Linked DNA regions of Kluyveromyces lactis. The protein of the gene in region 1 interacts with the protein of each later gene in a biochemical or structural test. Links are inferred from orthologs where the notes say so. Each region holds a gene or a part of one and is shown in the gene's direction. Other genes may lie near its edges. The genes, in order: VPS74 and SEC27.

Region 1 (7,758 bases):
ACACGCTAAACACATACGTAGCAAACTCATCTGGCGAGCCAAAGGGGAAAAATTGTTTGTATATCTTGATGAACTCTTCTCTAGTTAGCTGGCCGTTCGGGCAATCCCGTAGAAACCCTTTGTGCCACTGTTGGATCTCTCTGCGATCGAAATACGTAGATTGCTTCAAACTGGTCAAATCATTCTTTGAAAGTGTAGACGTTTTATTTCCCATCTTATTATTGTTATTCCATGGATAGTATATATCTTAACACTTACTGTGATCAAACGCCACTATAAGCTACCTATGATCAGTTTCGGAAAAGATATTGACTAGACCCTGAAGCTCTTCCTCCCTAAATTTTTCAACTCCTCATGCAACATCTTTTATATTGGTTTTTTTTTAATTATGTTTTTCTCTCTTCTGCAGTTTACAGATTTCGTTGTAGGAAAGTGGCTTGTGAAGTCCGTCATAGATGATTCTCTAAAAGTAACGATAGAAACAGTGACAGAGATGACCGTTCCTCTTCTACTTTGCTTGTTGGTGTTCAAGTAACGACTACTAAAATTCTTCAGATGCTCACTATGAAGCGGTGCCACTGATCGAACTATTTTTCCTCTTTTTAACTCAACGACTGCGTTTTAAAGTTCTGGATTTTATGAACCTATTTCAACATTCAAAGGTTGAATAGGTTACATTGAGTTATAAATTATAGTTTACGTAGTACTCAGAAAAACAAGTTGTAAAGCTGTTTCAGTCTTTTCGGAATAATAGCAATGCTGTTACATCAAACAGGGCATAGGTAATTTGAATAGAGGCCCTTTTTGACTCATTTTAATGCCCTTTGTACCGCCATAAATGCGTTTAAATTTAAAACTGTGAGTATAAATCCGTACACCACACACTCATTGTGGTTCTGTCTACAGATTTCCACTATTGACAAATTTTAAAGGGTAACAAAAGAATTAAGTAGAATCAGAATAGTAATTGCATTAAATTTTAAGGAAAACTAGATCTTCAATCCTTTGGCAAATGCATAATTAAAAATATCTATTTGCCACTTCTAGGCTCGTTCTAATACTCCCAGTGATTCAATTCTGATACATTTGACACGCTACAGTATATTGTGACAATTTGAGGATAGCTTGGCAGAGAATAGAATCTCGAATTGATGATGGCTTCACAAGAACCAGCTTTAGAATTGAATGGCGAACAGAGAGATTCTGTTTCGGAAACAGCAGAAGTACTGAGATCTAAGTCGTTGGAATCATTTTCAGATTTAGTAGACGATGGTAAGACGCTTTTGTACGGAGATATTTCGAAAAGTTTTCCGTTCAAAACATGCGATCGAATTTTAGATGACATTAGGATTTCACCATGGTTCTTGAAGAAGTTTGGTTCATCTGTGATGAAACAACCAATGCTTCAGTACTCGAGGGAAAGACAGCAATTGCAACCGTGGAACCTAGTGCATTTAATTGACCAGGTTAATTTGAGAAGCAGATATGATTATGATTCAATGACTTGTCCAGGGAAGAATACCATCAGTGTTATGTTCGCATTGCTGGTAGATCCGAATTTTACTCCTAATGACTTTGATGACATTGACAAGTTTCCTGAATACTTCTTTCATTTGAAGATTACTGTGAAAAGGAGATCATACTTGGAAAATTTCAATAGACACGTTGGGATAACTCATTATCATGTTTTAGAGCCTGAATCTTTACATCCATTCGACAAAAGGGATATCTTTATAATGGAAGAGAAAGACTGTAGATTAGTAGACCAAAGTATATTTGTTTCTGCTGATACTAATAAACTTATACTTGTTGAGATAATAAAACCAGAATTTAATTCAGAGAACCTAGCTGAATATCGAACAGCAAAAATTGAGGAAAGATATAAAAATGCATGTCAAGAATTTGATTTATTGAACCCGGACGATATTCCTAGCCAAGCCGAGTGTTTGAAAACTCTTTTCATGATATTTAAGAACCCATTACAGAGGAAATCTGCTAATAGTGAGTTTAAGATTATTTCCAGGGATAGTGTTGCACTCAACTCACAAATTAATACTGACTGGTTAACGACAATGTTTGATTTCAGTTTGCAGAAGACCGCTGTAGAAGATAATGTCCAATCTGGAGAGGAATATAAGCCACCAGATTTAGTTGATTATATCACAGATTTTAAGGTCAGAGGGATTAGAGAGGCGTATACCAGAAAATCCATGGAGGTTGTTTTAATTGGTAAGCAGTCGATGCTACTTGAAAATGAACTTGGTACTGAAAAGAAGACAGTGGCAAAGTGCTTTTCTAATCAACATTTTAGTGCCAGTCACACATGGTGGTTCAATATTTTGAACCACCAACACATTGAACCATTCCCCTACGACATAAATTACCATTTTATTAACCTATCTGTTGCTTTTAAGTACATCGATAAGGATATCATTAAAAACTATGAAACTCAAATTGCACTTGATCAGGAAAACATCAGCCATTATTTTGATGCTCTCCAATATGTAACAAACGCAAAGGGTAGTTACCAGCTTATTGCTTACTGTGGAAAACAAGATGTTGTTGGGTATGAAGATTTGAATAATGCATTACAGGTATTTGGTTTAGATCCAACTGACATTGACGCAAGCCTCCTTGATGCCAATACGATGATTGAATATTACAATTCTCATCTATTAAGGAGCTCTGATAATCAAAGAAAAGATCTAAGAAATGCCCTACGTGTGCTAGGAAAATATTTAGGTAGTCAAAAGATGTTGTTTTTGGTGGAGTATGAACCATATTATAATGTACAACAAGCTTACACTCTTTTAAAGGTAGACGAGACAGTAGATGATGATATTATCCAAACTGCATATACGATCAATATTGCTGATGCCCCTGGTTTGAAAAAAGATTATGATCGGGCGATTTTTACAATAGCACTAGATAGGCGCTCAATATTTCTTTTGAATGTCTTGACAGATGAATGTCCAGAATTTGCGCAATATTACAACTGCACTGACATATCATACGATGAAGCATTGAACATCATTGAAATTGACATGAATGCAAGCGACGATGTCATCCTTGAAGTTTTTCAAAAGAAATGGAGTCACGGAATTATGACAGGTCCTGATTATCTATTGAAGTTGAAAATGGCCCTTCAGAATATTGGTTTTACTAGAAATAGTAAACTTATCAACCACTTTTTAGACACCGGTATTGTGGACGTAAGTTGTCTTCCTGTTGCTACATGGCCAGCTGGAATCAATAATGTGGGAAATACATGCTACCTAAACTCACTACTTCAATTCTTTTTCACTATCAAACCTCTACGTGATTTTATTTTGAATTATGATGATGACTCTGCTAAATTACTGGATGCGTCTGAATATCACTCTAGAAGAAGAATTGGAGGCAGGGAGGTCAGCAAACAAGAAGAGCTTAGATCGGTCCAGTTTGTCTACCATCTTCGTGATTTGTTCAATGACATGATCCACACAAACAGTAGATGCGTCACGCCCACAAAAGAGTTGGTCTACTTAGCCTTTGCTCCGAGTAATGTCGAGGTGGAGTTCGGTGACGATACTGTTGCCCAGAAAGAACTCATCGACTTAACAACTGACGTCGTCGAAGACCCCACTGATACTACTCGTCACCTAGCGTCTTGTGATGATGATATCATAATGTGCCAGAGCCCGGTTGCGCTCCCCGAACATAAAACATCGTCAGAAGCAGGAACACAGCAATATTCCGTCCAAGTTGCTAAAATCAGTGCGGACCAACTTGAAAATACATTGGAGATCGGAAGACAACAAGATGTTACAGAATGTATAGGTAACGTCTTGGCTCAGCTTGAGATTGCTTCAGAACCTTTGAGCTTGGAAGACGACTTGGAACAGAATGATCTTGTCAAACAGTTGTTTTACGGTAGAATTAAACAGGACTTGATACCAGTCAATGATGAGGCTTCTGTCCGGACAAAATATGAAAGGTTTTTATCCTTATTGGTTAACACCGGTGACCATCCAAAGGATATTTATGATGCTTTAGATTTTTACTTTCAGAATGACTATTTGAATTTGGAGGAGTATGGTGATGTAAAGAGAACTGTATCTATCTCAGAGTTACCTGCGGTTCTACAAATTCAAATCCAGAGAGTCTATTATGATAGAGAAAAATTCATGCCTTTCAAGTCTATCGAGCCGCTACCTTTCGGCGAAACGTTGTACATGGATAGATATATGGCTACCGAGGATCCAAAACTATTAGCAGAAATTCAACAAAACGCAGAATTGAAACAGAAACTTCAAGACTTAAAGCAAAGACAGAGGAAACTACTCTCACAGAACGAAATAGGATTAACTTTAAAATCCTCGCTCATTGAGACCAAAAAGTTCTTACAGTCCGGTACCTTGAAAGCGCACGATATTGATGCGGACAATATCCCCTCATCGATCGCCTACATTGATATTTTAATCAATAACATAGACGAGGAACTAAAGAGCTTATTCAACAAAATTACAGATCTAGAGACAACTATTTCCCAACAGTTCAGCGAATTCAAACATATCGGCTATTCTTTATTCGCCGTTTTCATTCATCGTGGTGAAGCAAGTTACGGCCATTACTGGGTCTATATTAAAGATCACACCAAAAATGGTATCTGGAGGAAGTATAATGATGACTCAGTTACAGAGGTGCCACAATCGGAAGTATTCAACTTCACGGAGGGTAATACGGCCACTCCATACTTTTTGGTCTACGTCCGTGAAGGTCAAGAACAAGAAACTATCGAACCATTGAAACGAATTCTTCAACAACAGGAGTAACCCGTGTCGCTCTTAAAGTGGCATAAATATGATTTACATTATATTAATTAAAAGATAGATCAGTATGTAATGCAGGAATTGGTAAAATTTATAAGATCTGGCGTTCAGTTAGGCTTACTGTGCGGATACTATCTTCGATTCAATATCCACATGTGAGGGTAAATTGATTTTCGCAAGGCAGGCAGGAGTTCTTAATTAGTTAGTTACCTTGATCTAATTTGAAAAAAAAAAACATCAAAATGAAAAATAACTAACTGATTTTGATCAAACCTAGTTTATATCTATGGTGAATGATTTTAAAGATTTACTCTTCGTGTCACAATTGGCTTTAAGTCATTAGGTTTGACTTGAAGGTAGGATTGGAATTCTGTTATCCGACAATTGGACTGTGACTTGTCAAGAAGTGAACTTGCAAAGTTGCACGCCGAAAAAATAGGGTAAAAATTCATCATGTCTTTACAGCGTCGCCGAGTTAATAAAGGTGATACAACGGAATCAATCCCTCAAATAGATAATGAGCATGATCATAAGATTGTATATGACGAGCAAGAGGCGAAACTAAGGGACAACACTAGTGTTCCTAAGTTGACCTTAATGGAGGAAGTTTTGTTGATGGGACTAAAGGATAAACAGGGATATTTATCATTCTGGAACGATAATATCTCGTACGCCCTACGTGGGTGCATCTTGATAGAACTAGCGTTACGAGGTAAGATTAGATGTGTTGATGATCCAGCAAGAAAGAGATACGATGTCAGTGAGAGATTAATTGAAGTCATAGACGGAAGTAAAACTGGCGAGGTCTTACTTGATGAAAGTTTATCTTTAATGAAGAACGATCCACCAACTTCAATTGTCGGATGGATTGACCTACTTAGTGGCGAGACTTGGAATCTCCTAAAGATCAATTATCAATTGAAACAAGTTAGGGAAAGATTAGCAAAGGGATTGGTTGACAAAGGTGTTTTGAGAACTGAAATGAAGAACTTCTTTTTGTTTGACATGGCCACACACCCGATCACTGATACAACTTGCAAGGAATCTATTAAAAGAAGAATACTATCGATACTGGTTTCAAGGAATGCTGAATTGACTTATAATACCTATTTCCCACAAGATGTTTCCTTTAAATATATTAGAACCTTGTCTTTAATCTGTGGTGCTTATGGTGCTAATGTTCTAGAAAATGTCTTGGCTACCTTAGATTACGAAGTGAGAGATACAGGGTTTGCTCGTGCGGATGAAATTCTAGCTCAATTTTCAGAATTTCCGTTCCCACTCGATAAACAAACAAGCACCGGTGTTTCAGTGAACTTAAATAAAGAGATTTCACAGGAATTAAATAATCATCCGGGTTCAGATTTGCAACTTGAAGTTGTTGCTGGAGTTTTTGAGGTCTTTTCACGTATGGACACATTGTTATAAAGTCCATAGTATTATGATTCGAAGAACAGTGTGGATCATTCACATATATATATATACTTGTATCTCAAAAATTCTACGGACAATATCCGACTAGTTCTAAATCACAATGTAAACTCGATTTGAGCACAAATTCCATTACTTGGTAATGATATTCATTCATTGAAATCTGATATGAAAGGCTGAAGTTAGAGCTTCTGGAAAAGACTTGAAATATAATCCTTGGGGTACTTTTGTAAATGAAATTGCTTTACTTTATCGCTTTTGAACAATGATACAAAGCCTTCAGACAGGCCAATTTCCTTACTAAATGCGTTAACTAGTGACTTCCTGGGGTCTTTGGAATCCCCACAAGATTCCCACCAAAATCCACCGTTCAAGTTTTTCTTCTTGATGTATTTTCCCTTGATATCCATGGATTGAACATTGTCATACCCCACAAATGTTCTGGATTTAGGATCAAAGCAGTAAGCTGAGACTGCATTTGAGTCAAACTGTTCCTTGCTACCATCGATCGGTAGTTGATTATATAACCAAATCCCTGGCTCACCCTCAGATCCACCCCCAACTCCGTGATATTTCTTGCCAAGATAATTATCATCATTTGTTTCGACATTGGTGAAACCACGTCCATAGGCCGCCATACCAAGTGCTATTCTACGTGAAGATATGTTATGTCTATCGGTCATAAGTTTCACTGCGGTGTCTGATGAAAGAGAACTGTTTGATATTCTATTACTCAAACTTCTCCTGTGGGAATGTCCCTGAAGGTACAAGTTACTATGATATCCGGTTACATCTGACCATTCTCCATGAAAGTCATAACACATCATATTCCAGATATCAACATATTTTGACATCTCAGATATAGGTAGTATATTTAATTTTTCAGCAAATGCAGGGGTAGCTACAGAAAGTTGGAAATGTGGATGGTCCTTCTCTTCAGCGGGTGAACCAAAAATTTGTCTTTCTAACTGATCCATACCTTCTCTTATTCCTCTCATCATTTCTAAATAAACTATCGGTTCATTACTGTCCTCCTCGGGAAACTCCCAATCCAAGTCTATTCCATCAAACCCATACCTGAACATACAATCCACCGCTGTTTCAATAAACTTCTTCACCTTTTTCTCTGACTTGGCAATTTTCTTATAGGCCTCTCTGTTGGACCAACCACCAAGGCATAAAATAGTCTTGAATTCGTGCTTTGACTCTAATTTTATTTTTTGAAGCTCTTTGATGCAACCTTTTACACCCACACTCAAAGGCAGCTCAAAGTCTGACCACGAATCACTAGATTTAACAGCTCCTGACTTAGCATCCACCACAAAAAAGGCATAATATACATGCGTCAACTGGCTTGTTGGAATATCAGCCGGCTTGTGGTTTCTTGCATTATACGGGGACCAATTGGAATAGTAAGTGGCAACTGAAAAACCATCCGGTCCCTCAGACGGAACACGAGTGTCTGGATCGATCTCTGTGGGAGGCCTTCTCCCGGCGCTCCCACCCTTCTTGATTT
Region 2 (9,172 bases), on another chromosome or scaffold:
AAATACTGTGCTTATTTTGATTTGATCTGACTTCTGAATTAGTAAAGGAAAAGAAGCCCTTATTATTCATTTAGTTGGTTAGAAAGTGTTGAACGCTTGATAACTTATACTTTTTTCCAGCTAAGCTTTCTCTTTTGAAGATGAACATGGTAATAAGGCTGTGGGTGCTTTTGTCCCTTCTTGTATCAAATGTGTTTGCTAGACGTAGTTTGATTGCTACCTCGTTGGTATCATGTATGGATAACTCTGAGTTAACGGCTAACAGTTTTGATGTGGTCTTCAACCCGGATGACGGATCATTGCGTTATACTTTGGATATAACTACCGATATCAATGGGTACGTCATTGCTCATGCTGAGGTGTACGCATACGGATTCAATATTATTAACAGACAGATTGATCCCTGTGATTCAGATTGGAAACAGTTCTGTCCTTTATACCCTGGAGTGATTGAAATCGATTCAGTCGAATATATATCTGATGAGTATGTCGATATGATCCCAGGGATTGCATACCAGGTGCCCGATATCGATGCGTACCTTAAGCTTATTGTGGTGGAACGTGATACGAATGGGATCGTTGCCTGTATTCAAGCTTTCTTTTCTAATGGGAAGACAGTCTCGCAAACGGGTGTCAAATGGGCCACTGCTGTTATCGCTGGTATCGGGTTGTTGACTTCTGCATTGCTATCCGCCTTCGGTAACTCTAACGCTGCTTCACATGTGGCTGCCAATACTATGTCGCTTTTCTTGTATTTCCAATCGGTGACTGTGTTCGCCATGGAACATGTTAACACTGTGCCTCCTATCGCCGCTGCTTGGTCCGAAAACTTGATGTGGTCCATGGGATTGATCCGTGTCACTTTCATGCAAAAAATTTTCAGATGGTATGTTCAAGCCACTGGTGGCACTCCGACTCTATACTTAACCTCAAAGACAATTTCTGTTTTGGTTCAAAGATCCCTAGAATATCTGGAAAGTACCCGCATCTATAAGCGTGCGGCAGAAGTCTTGTATGGTAATTCCAACGTTCTAATCTTCAGAGGTATTAAACGTTTAGGTTACAGTGCCAACATCGAAATTACTTCTATCGTTGCTACTGGGTTAACATTCTTTATATTATGTGGGTATTTCCTATTTGGGTTGATCATTTGCGCCAAATATGTCGTCGAACTATGTATCAGAGCCGGATGGTTGAAAAACTCGAGGTTCATCGATTTCAGAAAGCATTGGAAGATCATATTGAAGGGTGCTCTTCTGCGTTACATTTACATTGGTTTCATTCAAATTACTATTTTATGTTTCTGGGAATTTATTCAAAGAGATTCGCCGGCTCTCATTGTATTGAGTTGTCTATTCATCATTATGGTTTATGGTATCCTCGGTTATGTGTCACTCAGAACAATTTCTTTTGCTAAACGATCTATTCAGTTACACAACAATCCAGCTGCTATTTTATATGGTGACCAGAGGGTCTTGAACAAATACGGTTTCTTCTATACTATGTTTTCCGCCAATTATTATTATTGGTCCTGCGTTATTATGGCCCAAAACTTTGTCAAAGGTGCGTTCATCGCATTCGCGCAAGCTTCAGGTAAAACTCAAGCTCTTGCTTTGTTTATTATTGATTTGGCCTACTTCGCAGCCATCATCAAATTCAAACCATATTTGGATCGTGCCACAAATATCCTCAACATTTTGATTTCAACAGTCACCTTAGTGAACTCATTCCTATTCTTGTTTTTCTCTGATTTGTTTGGGCAACCTCAGCCAGTGGCCTCGATTATGGCTTGGGTCTTCTTCATTATGAACGCTGCATTCTCTTTGATTTTATTGATTCTAATTCTTGTGTATGTGGGCTTTGTCATCTTTTCGAAGAACCCTGATGTCAGATTCAAACCAGCGAACGATGACAGAACATCATTCCAAAGACAATCCGCGAATGTGGGTGCTATGGATAAATCTGTCGCTGATGAACTAATGGCTCTTGGCACTGTCGCTAAAGAACATGATGGGGACTGGCAGGAGATGCTAGTTACCCAGGGTCAACAAAACACCGAATCAAGCACAGATAATCTTAACGATGAAAAACTCGAGGCAGCAGAGGAAGCTAATATTAGTAGGAAACATTCATTCAAGGATAAGATATTGCGTAAAATGTCATTGAGGAGAAATAAATCCACTTCGTCCAGGTTAACCGCTGGTAATAGACAAGCTACCGTCACTGCTTCGCATCTTTCCGGTGACTCTAGCTCAGAATCAGAAACGCCAATCGTTAAAACTATTAAAGGGACTCACACAAGAGCAGTGTCTGAGGCAGAAAACGGACTAATAGATAACAGTAGTGATTTTGATTTTGTTACTGACACACAACTCGATACTCCAACAGCTTCACCCCATCGTAAAACTTCGATAAGTGATAGCATAAATTTCAATAGTACTACGGATATGAATGCTACATCCTCAACAGATATTTTCCAACATAACAATAACTCCTACTACAAGTTGTAAATATGAGTGCCGTTTCGTTTCTAAACTCGTATATTATATAAACTTTTCATCGTATTAAACAAATGTATTATCGATTTTTGACTACGGGTGCACATATTCAAACAATTCATCTGAGACGTGCATATTATCCCAATAGTTAAGGAAAACTGAGCATTTTTCTAGTACTCGTGTTAGGTTTGCTGCCATTATTTTATCCGTAATACTTAAAGTTTTCCATAACTTAGTTGTGGCCACTTTATTCAATGTCCTCCAAGGTAAAGATAGTTTGTCCTGTTCTATGGTTGAAAGCTGAAGCAAAGGCGAAATAATATCTTTCAATTTTTCTGTTGCCAACGTGAGTTTGAAATTATCTTCTTTATCATAATGATATCTTTCTGAAACTTCAATCTCTTGAAACCAGGACAACTCTTTTGAGGATTTCCTTCTTGAATACCAATCGATGAGAAGTTCTTTTGTGGAAAGTTTGCTCTTGAAGTCAGGTATCTGGGACATACTTGTATTCATGTAATATGAGCTCAAACTAAAGTTAGTCGGAGCCATAGACAAATTCGGGGTCTGTAAGTATGGAACATATGTCTTTGTTTTTCGCTTTGACAGGAGAGTGATGAATGGGATTAATTTCTTAGCCATAACTTCTGACCAGGAATCAGAATAAGTCGATGCATACAATGGCTGAATTGGTATCGAATTAGATAAAGAACAAAATTCCATTGCATTTGATGTACTTATTCCATCACTCTGTAAAGATTGAAATATCGTTTGTTTGGCATCCATATCCACATCACAATAAAACAAACCGCCAACCCAAGTGTAGGGTATAAAAACATCAAATGGACGGATCGCATACTTCTTTCTTCTGGCCATTTTTAAACAATGAAAGTTCTTCAAACTATTATTGGGATTTTCCTGTTCTTTAGATTCAAAAAAACACCACGGTTGGTTCCAATCCTTTACATCATTAGTAAGTTGCTTCTCAGTTTCAAAGACAACTTTACCCTCGTTACAATAAGTTATCTTCAAAGCTTTCCCTGATCTTTTATATAGCTGGTGAAAATAAAATACCCTGTGTACTTTAAATCCAGTGAAGAGCTTTGTATCTCCAGGCAAAGAATCTACTGGAATCGTTGCCCCACTCCATATCTCAAACGTTTTCTTCATATTCATGTTGGCAGAGTTGAAACCTACCGCACAAGCTTTATCAATTGTATGAACAGGGTATAGTGCTTTCCCGTAAGCAAAATCAAAAAATAGAGCAGAACAAAAGAGAATCAACAACCATAGTTGACCTTTACTCATTCTATAACAAACCACACAACTGCTGTAGCTTCTAATAAAATGAGACTATCAAGACAAATAGCAGTTGTTCTGCTGAATAGCCTAAATCGCGCCCTTTGTCGAACAAATATAATAATTAGTAATATTCTTCAACTTTAGCTTTGAATACAAAATGGAGAAGATTGATGTAATATTAGGGGAAATAAGTCATATAGCTCGTAGTACTCTCGAGCCGAAACGGTTCAAGTTGATGCTTTATTTATGTGACACTGACACTGACATCAATATCATAATAACATTACCCGGTCCTATGCCATGTCCATCAACGGCTTTGAAAAAAAAATGTTTGAAAGGGGAATTTGAATAATAAAGATCCATTCATGATTTTAACACGTTAGTTGAAGAAAACATCGAAGGTAGAGACCCAACAGAGCGGAAGGAAATTAGCAATGAAACTTGACATCAATGTATGTGACACATTGTGTACTAGAGTAATTTGTGAGGTGCTTTTATCACGGAGAATCGCTGTTGAACGTTAGCAATTGCATATTAAGTATCTTAGGCGTTTTTCTGGTATCAATACATTTATGTTTTATGTTTTGATTCAACAGATTATATTTCTTCAGCCCTTATCAGCAACTAAAAGAAAGAGCTTTTACTAACATTTTTTTCATCTATGGTGACTTTATTTGTCTTTAGAAAAAGCTCAGTGCCAGAACTGACAGGGTTAAGGGCATTGACTTTCATCCTGAGGAACCTTGGGTTTTAATTACCTTGTACTCAGGAAGAATTGAGATATGGAACTACGAGACGCAAACGCAAGTGAGATCTATTCCATTATGTGATGCTCCAGTGAGAGCTGGTAGATTCATTGCAAGAAAGAACTGGGTTGTTGTTGGTTCCGATGACTTTAAATTAAGAGTTTATAATTATAACACCGGTGAAAAAGTGACCGAATTCGAAGCACATCCTGATTATATCCGTTCCATTGCTGTGCATCCAACGAAGCCATTCGTTCTGACAGGTTCTGATGATCTGACTATTAAGTTATGGAACTGGGAAAAGAATTGGGGCTGCCAACAAACCTTTACCGGTCATGAGCACTTCGTCATGTCTGTTGCATTCAACCCAAAGGACCCCAACCAATTTGCCTCCGGTTGTTTGGATCACACTATCAAAGTTTGGTCGATTGGTCAAGATGTTCCAAATTTCACCTTGAAAGCACATGAAACTAAAGGTGTGAATTATGTCGACTATTACCCGTTACAAGATAAGCCTTATTTGATTACCACTTCCGATGACGGTACCATCAAGGTGTGGGATTACCAGACAAAATCTAATGTTGCTACTTTAGAGGGACATATGGCTAACGTGTCATATGCTGTATTCCATCCGACTTTACCTATCATTATCTCAGGTTCCGAGGATGGAACTCTCAAGATTTGGAATGCAAATACATACAAACTAGAGAAAACGTTGAACATCGGGCTTGAAAGAAGTTGGTGTATCGCTACTCATCCATCTGGTAAACGTAATTACATTGCATCGGGTTTCGACAATGGTTTCACAGTTCTATCCCTAGGTGATGATCAACCAAAATTATCTTTGGATCCAGTTGGTAAGTTAGTTTATTGCGGTGGTAAAGCATCAGCCACTGACGTCTTCTCTGCCATCATTAGAGGTAATGAAGAGGTAGAAGAAGGCGGTGCCCTTCCTTTGCAAAGCAAAGAATTAGGGTCGATCGACGTTTTCCCACAAAGTTTGAAGCATTCCCCAAATGGTAGATTTGTCACTGTTGTTGGTGATGACGAATTCATTGTGTACACTGCTTTAGCATGGAGAAACAAAGCTTTCGGCAAATGCCATGACTTTGCATGGGGCCCAGATTCTAATAGTTATGCGTTAATCACGGAAACGGGTGCAGTGACCTACTACAAGAACTTCAAACAAGTATCTTCTTGGTCAATTCCGCTTGATTACGGTGTCGAAAAAATCTTCCCTGGTTCAGTATTAGGTGTCAAAGCTGACGGCTTCGTATATTTCTTTGATTGGGAATCAGGTAATCTAGTGAAAAGAATTGATGTCGATGCTAAGGATATAATCTGGTCAGATAATGGAGAGCTTGTTATGATCATCAACAAAGACCATGAAACAGACTCTGCTGAAGAAGCTAATGCTTACGCTCTGTTGTTCAATAAGGATGTTTACGATGAGGCGGTTTCAGCTGGAAGTATTGATGAAGATGGTGTAGAAGATGCGTTTGACGTATTATACGAAGTTTCAGAGGGTATCACGTCAGGTAAGTGGGTTGGTGATGTCTTCATTTTCACCACCCCAACAAATAGATTAAACTACTTTGTTGGTGGTAAAATCTATAATCTTGCACATTTCGATAAGCAGATGTACTTATTAGGTTATTTGCCAAGAGATGATAAAGTTTATTTGGCTGACAAAGATATCCATGTTTATGGTTATGAACTATCTATTGATGTTTTGGAATTCGAGACATTGGTACTCAGAGGCGAACTAGCTGAGGCCAAATCATCCGTACTACCTAATGTTCAAGGAAAAGAAAACTTGCTAAAGATCTCTAGATTTTTGGAGGGACAAGATTTGTTTGAAGATGCCTTAGAAATTTCACCAGACGCTGAGCAGAAGTTTGATCTAGCTATTAAATTAGGCCGACTATCACTGGCGCAAGAAATATTGTCCGAGCAGGAAAGTGAGAACAGATGGATTCAATTGGGTGATGCTGCCTTAAAGAAATTCAATTTCACTTTAGCTTTGCAATGTTATGAAAAGGCAAATGATCTAGAATCCCTTTTCTTGTTATATTCTTCATTCAACAATAGGGAAGAGTTGGTTTCATTGGCAAAGAATGCTGAGACTTCTGGTAAGTTCAACCTAGCTTTCAATGCTTATTGGGTAGCAGGTGACATAGCTGGAGCAAAGGACTTGCTATTAAAATCTAATAGGGTGCCAGAAGCTGCCCTATTAAGTTTAACATACGGGGAATCGGCAGAATCCATCAACACTGTAGTAGACGTATGGAAGCAAACTTTGATCAATGACGGTAAAGCCGCAATTGCTGAAAGAGTTGGAGTTGTCGGTAAGACAGAAGGTTTTCCATCAACGAATACACATACCTTACTTGATTTAGATACACCAAGCGAGAGCATAAAAGAAGCGGCTCCTGTAAACCATAAGTCAGAGGAGGATGTCGCAGTTGAAGAAAAAGCGTTGGATACCGAGGAAAATAAGGATGAAGATGAAGATGAAGAAGCATTCAAGGATTCATCTGAAGAGCCTCAAGGTTCAAAAGACGATGATAAACCCGCTGCAAAGGCGGAATAACTGTACGTTCCCCAACTCCTAAAAGAAAAAATGAACTACGATAAATTCATAATCCGTAAATAATGTATTAATATGCTAGTATATTAACATGAACTAAACGATTACAATCCGTGAGTCTTGAAGATTCTATCAAACTGTTTAAAATATTTACAAGTACAATTATTCCTCTAAAAACACCTTCAATTTATCTATATCAGTTTTCTTCCCGCGAGCCACGAAATACAGTTCTTTTGATTCATTTCTCGATGCATTGGGTTTGAATCTGTCGACTTTTTTGAATACCTTTTTAAGTCTCTTTTCAAGAAGGGTATCTTCGCTTCCAGCATATAATTTACAAGTGAATGAACCTCCCGGTTTTAATAGGTCGATTGCTACAATTAATGCAGCATCACATAAGTCCATCGACATATAATGATCTTTACTTTGTATGCCTGTCGTGTTTGCCATCATATCGCTAAGCACAACATCGACCGGGTATCGTTCGATGTTCTGACTGATATCTGTCTGTGAGAATAGCTCCTTATACTCCTCTGTTTCCTTCAAATGGTTTAACTCTTCCTCTAGCATGTGCTGGAGATACCCATGATCCTTATGTAATTGATCATGCTTGTTTAGCTGGATATGACGAGCAAAGCAAAGTCTGATCAATTCATGAGTCTTTTTCGATAGGATGTTAGCCTGTAACGAATACACTCCCTTTGGCGGAGTACAACGTAACAAATCAACCCCCATGATCATTCCACCTGAACCGATCCTTTTCCTCGCTACTTGTGACCAGGCACCCGGCGCAAACCCAAGATCTAAAACTTTCTGATTTTGTTTGAAGAACCGGTATTTATCATCAATGTCCATTAATTTGAATGCTGCTCTGGACCTAAACTGCTGTTCCTTTGCAGCCTTGGTGAAATGATCATTCTTTTGCCTCGCTAACCAACGGTTCTGCGCATTAGAATTGTATCTTACTAGCCGTAGCACAAACGGAGTGCACCTATACTGAGGTGTGATCAAAGGCTGTAACACAGAATTCATCCCTACAATGATTCAGTATTCGCATGCAGCACCGTGCTACCTTTAACTGTCCAGGTATTGCATATTTGACATTTTACAGCCTTAACTTTTGATTGTCAGTACATATTCCACAGGAGAAACCTTAAAATATAACACCGATGAGATACAAATAAAGGTGAATAAGGAAGTACGTGCACTTTGCGAGTTCTCTAACAGGACGGACTACGAACTATGCAGCTTAGAGGACAACTTCAAGTCTCATCTGGACCTTATGATGCTACTTGGCAAGCGAATAGCCATTAACCCACACACCGCATAATGGTTAAGGATAGTGACACAATTTAAGATTTGAAATTCTTCCTAATTAGGATATTGTTGGCACTGAAATAATAAACACCCAGTCACCGCACCAATTTTCAACAGTCCCAGCATTTTTGTACCCACTCCTGGCCAAAGCCTACAGGAAAACTGAAAAATTTCAGATTGAACCACATTGGAATAACAACATATGATGAAAACAGCTAATCAATCGGGACGTTGTTCTCTTATTCTCTCTTGATATATATATTTTTATATTGTTCGTATTCTGTTTGTTTTAGAATTTAAAAGAGCACAGTCGCAAGCCTATTAAACGGACCACCAAATACTTTTGGAAGACTCTCACCACTCATAAAACATCAAAGATGTCTAAGATTACTTCCTCTCACGTTAGAGACAACGTCAAGGAGTTGTTGAAATACTCCAATGAAACCAAGAAGAGAAATTTCTTGGAAACCGTTGAATTGCAAGTCGGTTTGAAGAACTACGATCCTCAAAGAGACAAGCGTTTCTCTGGTACTTTGAAGTTGCCAGTCTGCCCAAGACCAAACTTGTCCATCTGTATCTTTGGTGATGCTTTCGATGTTGACAGAGCTAAGTCCTGTGGTGTCGACGCTATGTCCGTTGAAGATTTGAAGAAGTTGAACAAGAACAAGAAGTTGATTAAGAAGTTGGCTAAGAAGTACTCTGCTTTCGTCGCTTCGGAA

The links.
Region 2: the proteins of VPS74 (region 1) and SEC27 form a complex in vitro, tested with the Saccharomyces cerevisiae proteins (2 studies listed by BioGRID). The link is inferred for Kluyveromyces lactis from reciprocal best matches to the Saccharomyces cerevisiae genes VPS74 and SEC27.

What each region holds. Positions count from the first base shown.
Region 1 is NC_006041.1:215,703-223,460, reverse strand, and holds VPS74 (Vps74p), read left to right. Parts: upstream 1-5,264; coding exon 5,265-6,239; downstream 6,240-7,758. Other genes in the region: FRQ1 (frequenin), read right to left, coding at 1-214; ubiquitin-specific protease UBP2, read left to right, coding at 1,152-4,814; CTS2 (putative chitinase), read right to left, coding at 6,425-7,758.
Region 2 is NC_006038.1:166,412-175,583, forward strand, and holds SEC27 (coatomer subunit beta'), read left to right. Parts: upstream 1-4,234; coding exon 4,235-4,252; intron 4,253-4,484; coding exon 4,485-7,139; downstream 7,140-9,172. Other genes in the region: KLLA0_B01914g (transient receptor potential ion channel family protein), read left to right, coding at 141-2,510; KLLA0_B01936g (uncharacterized protein), read right to left, coding at 2,592-3,806; MRM2 (21S rRNA (uridine2791-2'-O) methyltransferase), read right to left, coding at 7,299-8,168; RPL1B (60S ribosomal protein uL1), read left to right, coding at 8,831-9,172. UniProt on the Saccharomyces cerevisiae protein: The coatomer is a cytosolic protein complex that binds to dilysine motifs and reversibly associates with Golgi non-clathrin-coated vesicles, which further mediate biosynthetic protein transport from the ER, via the Golgi up to the trans Golgi network.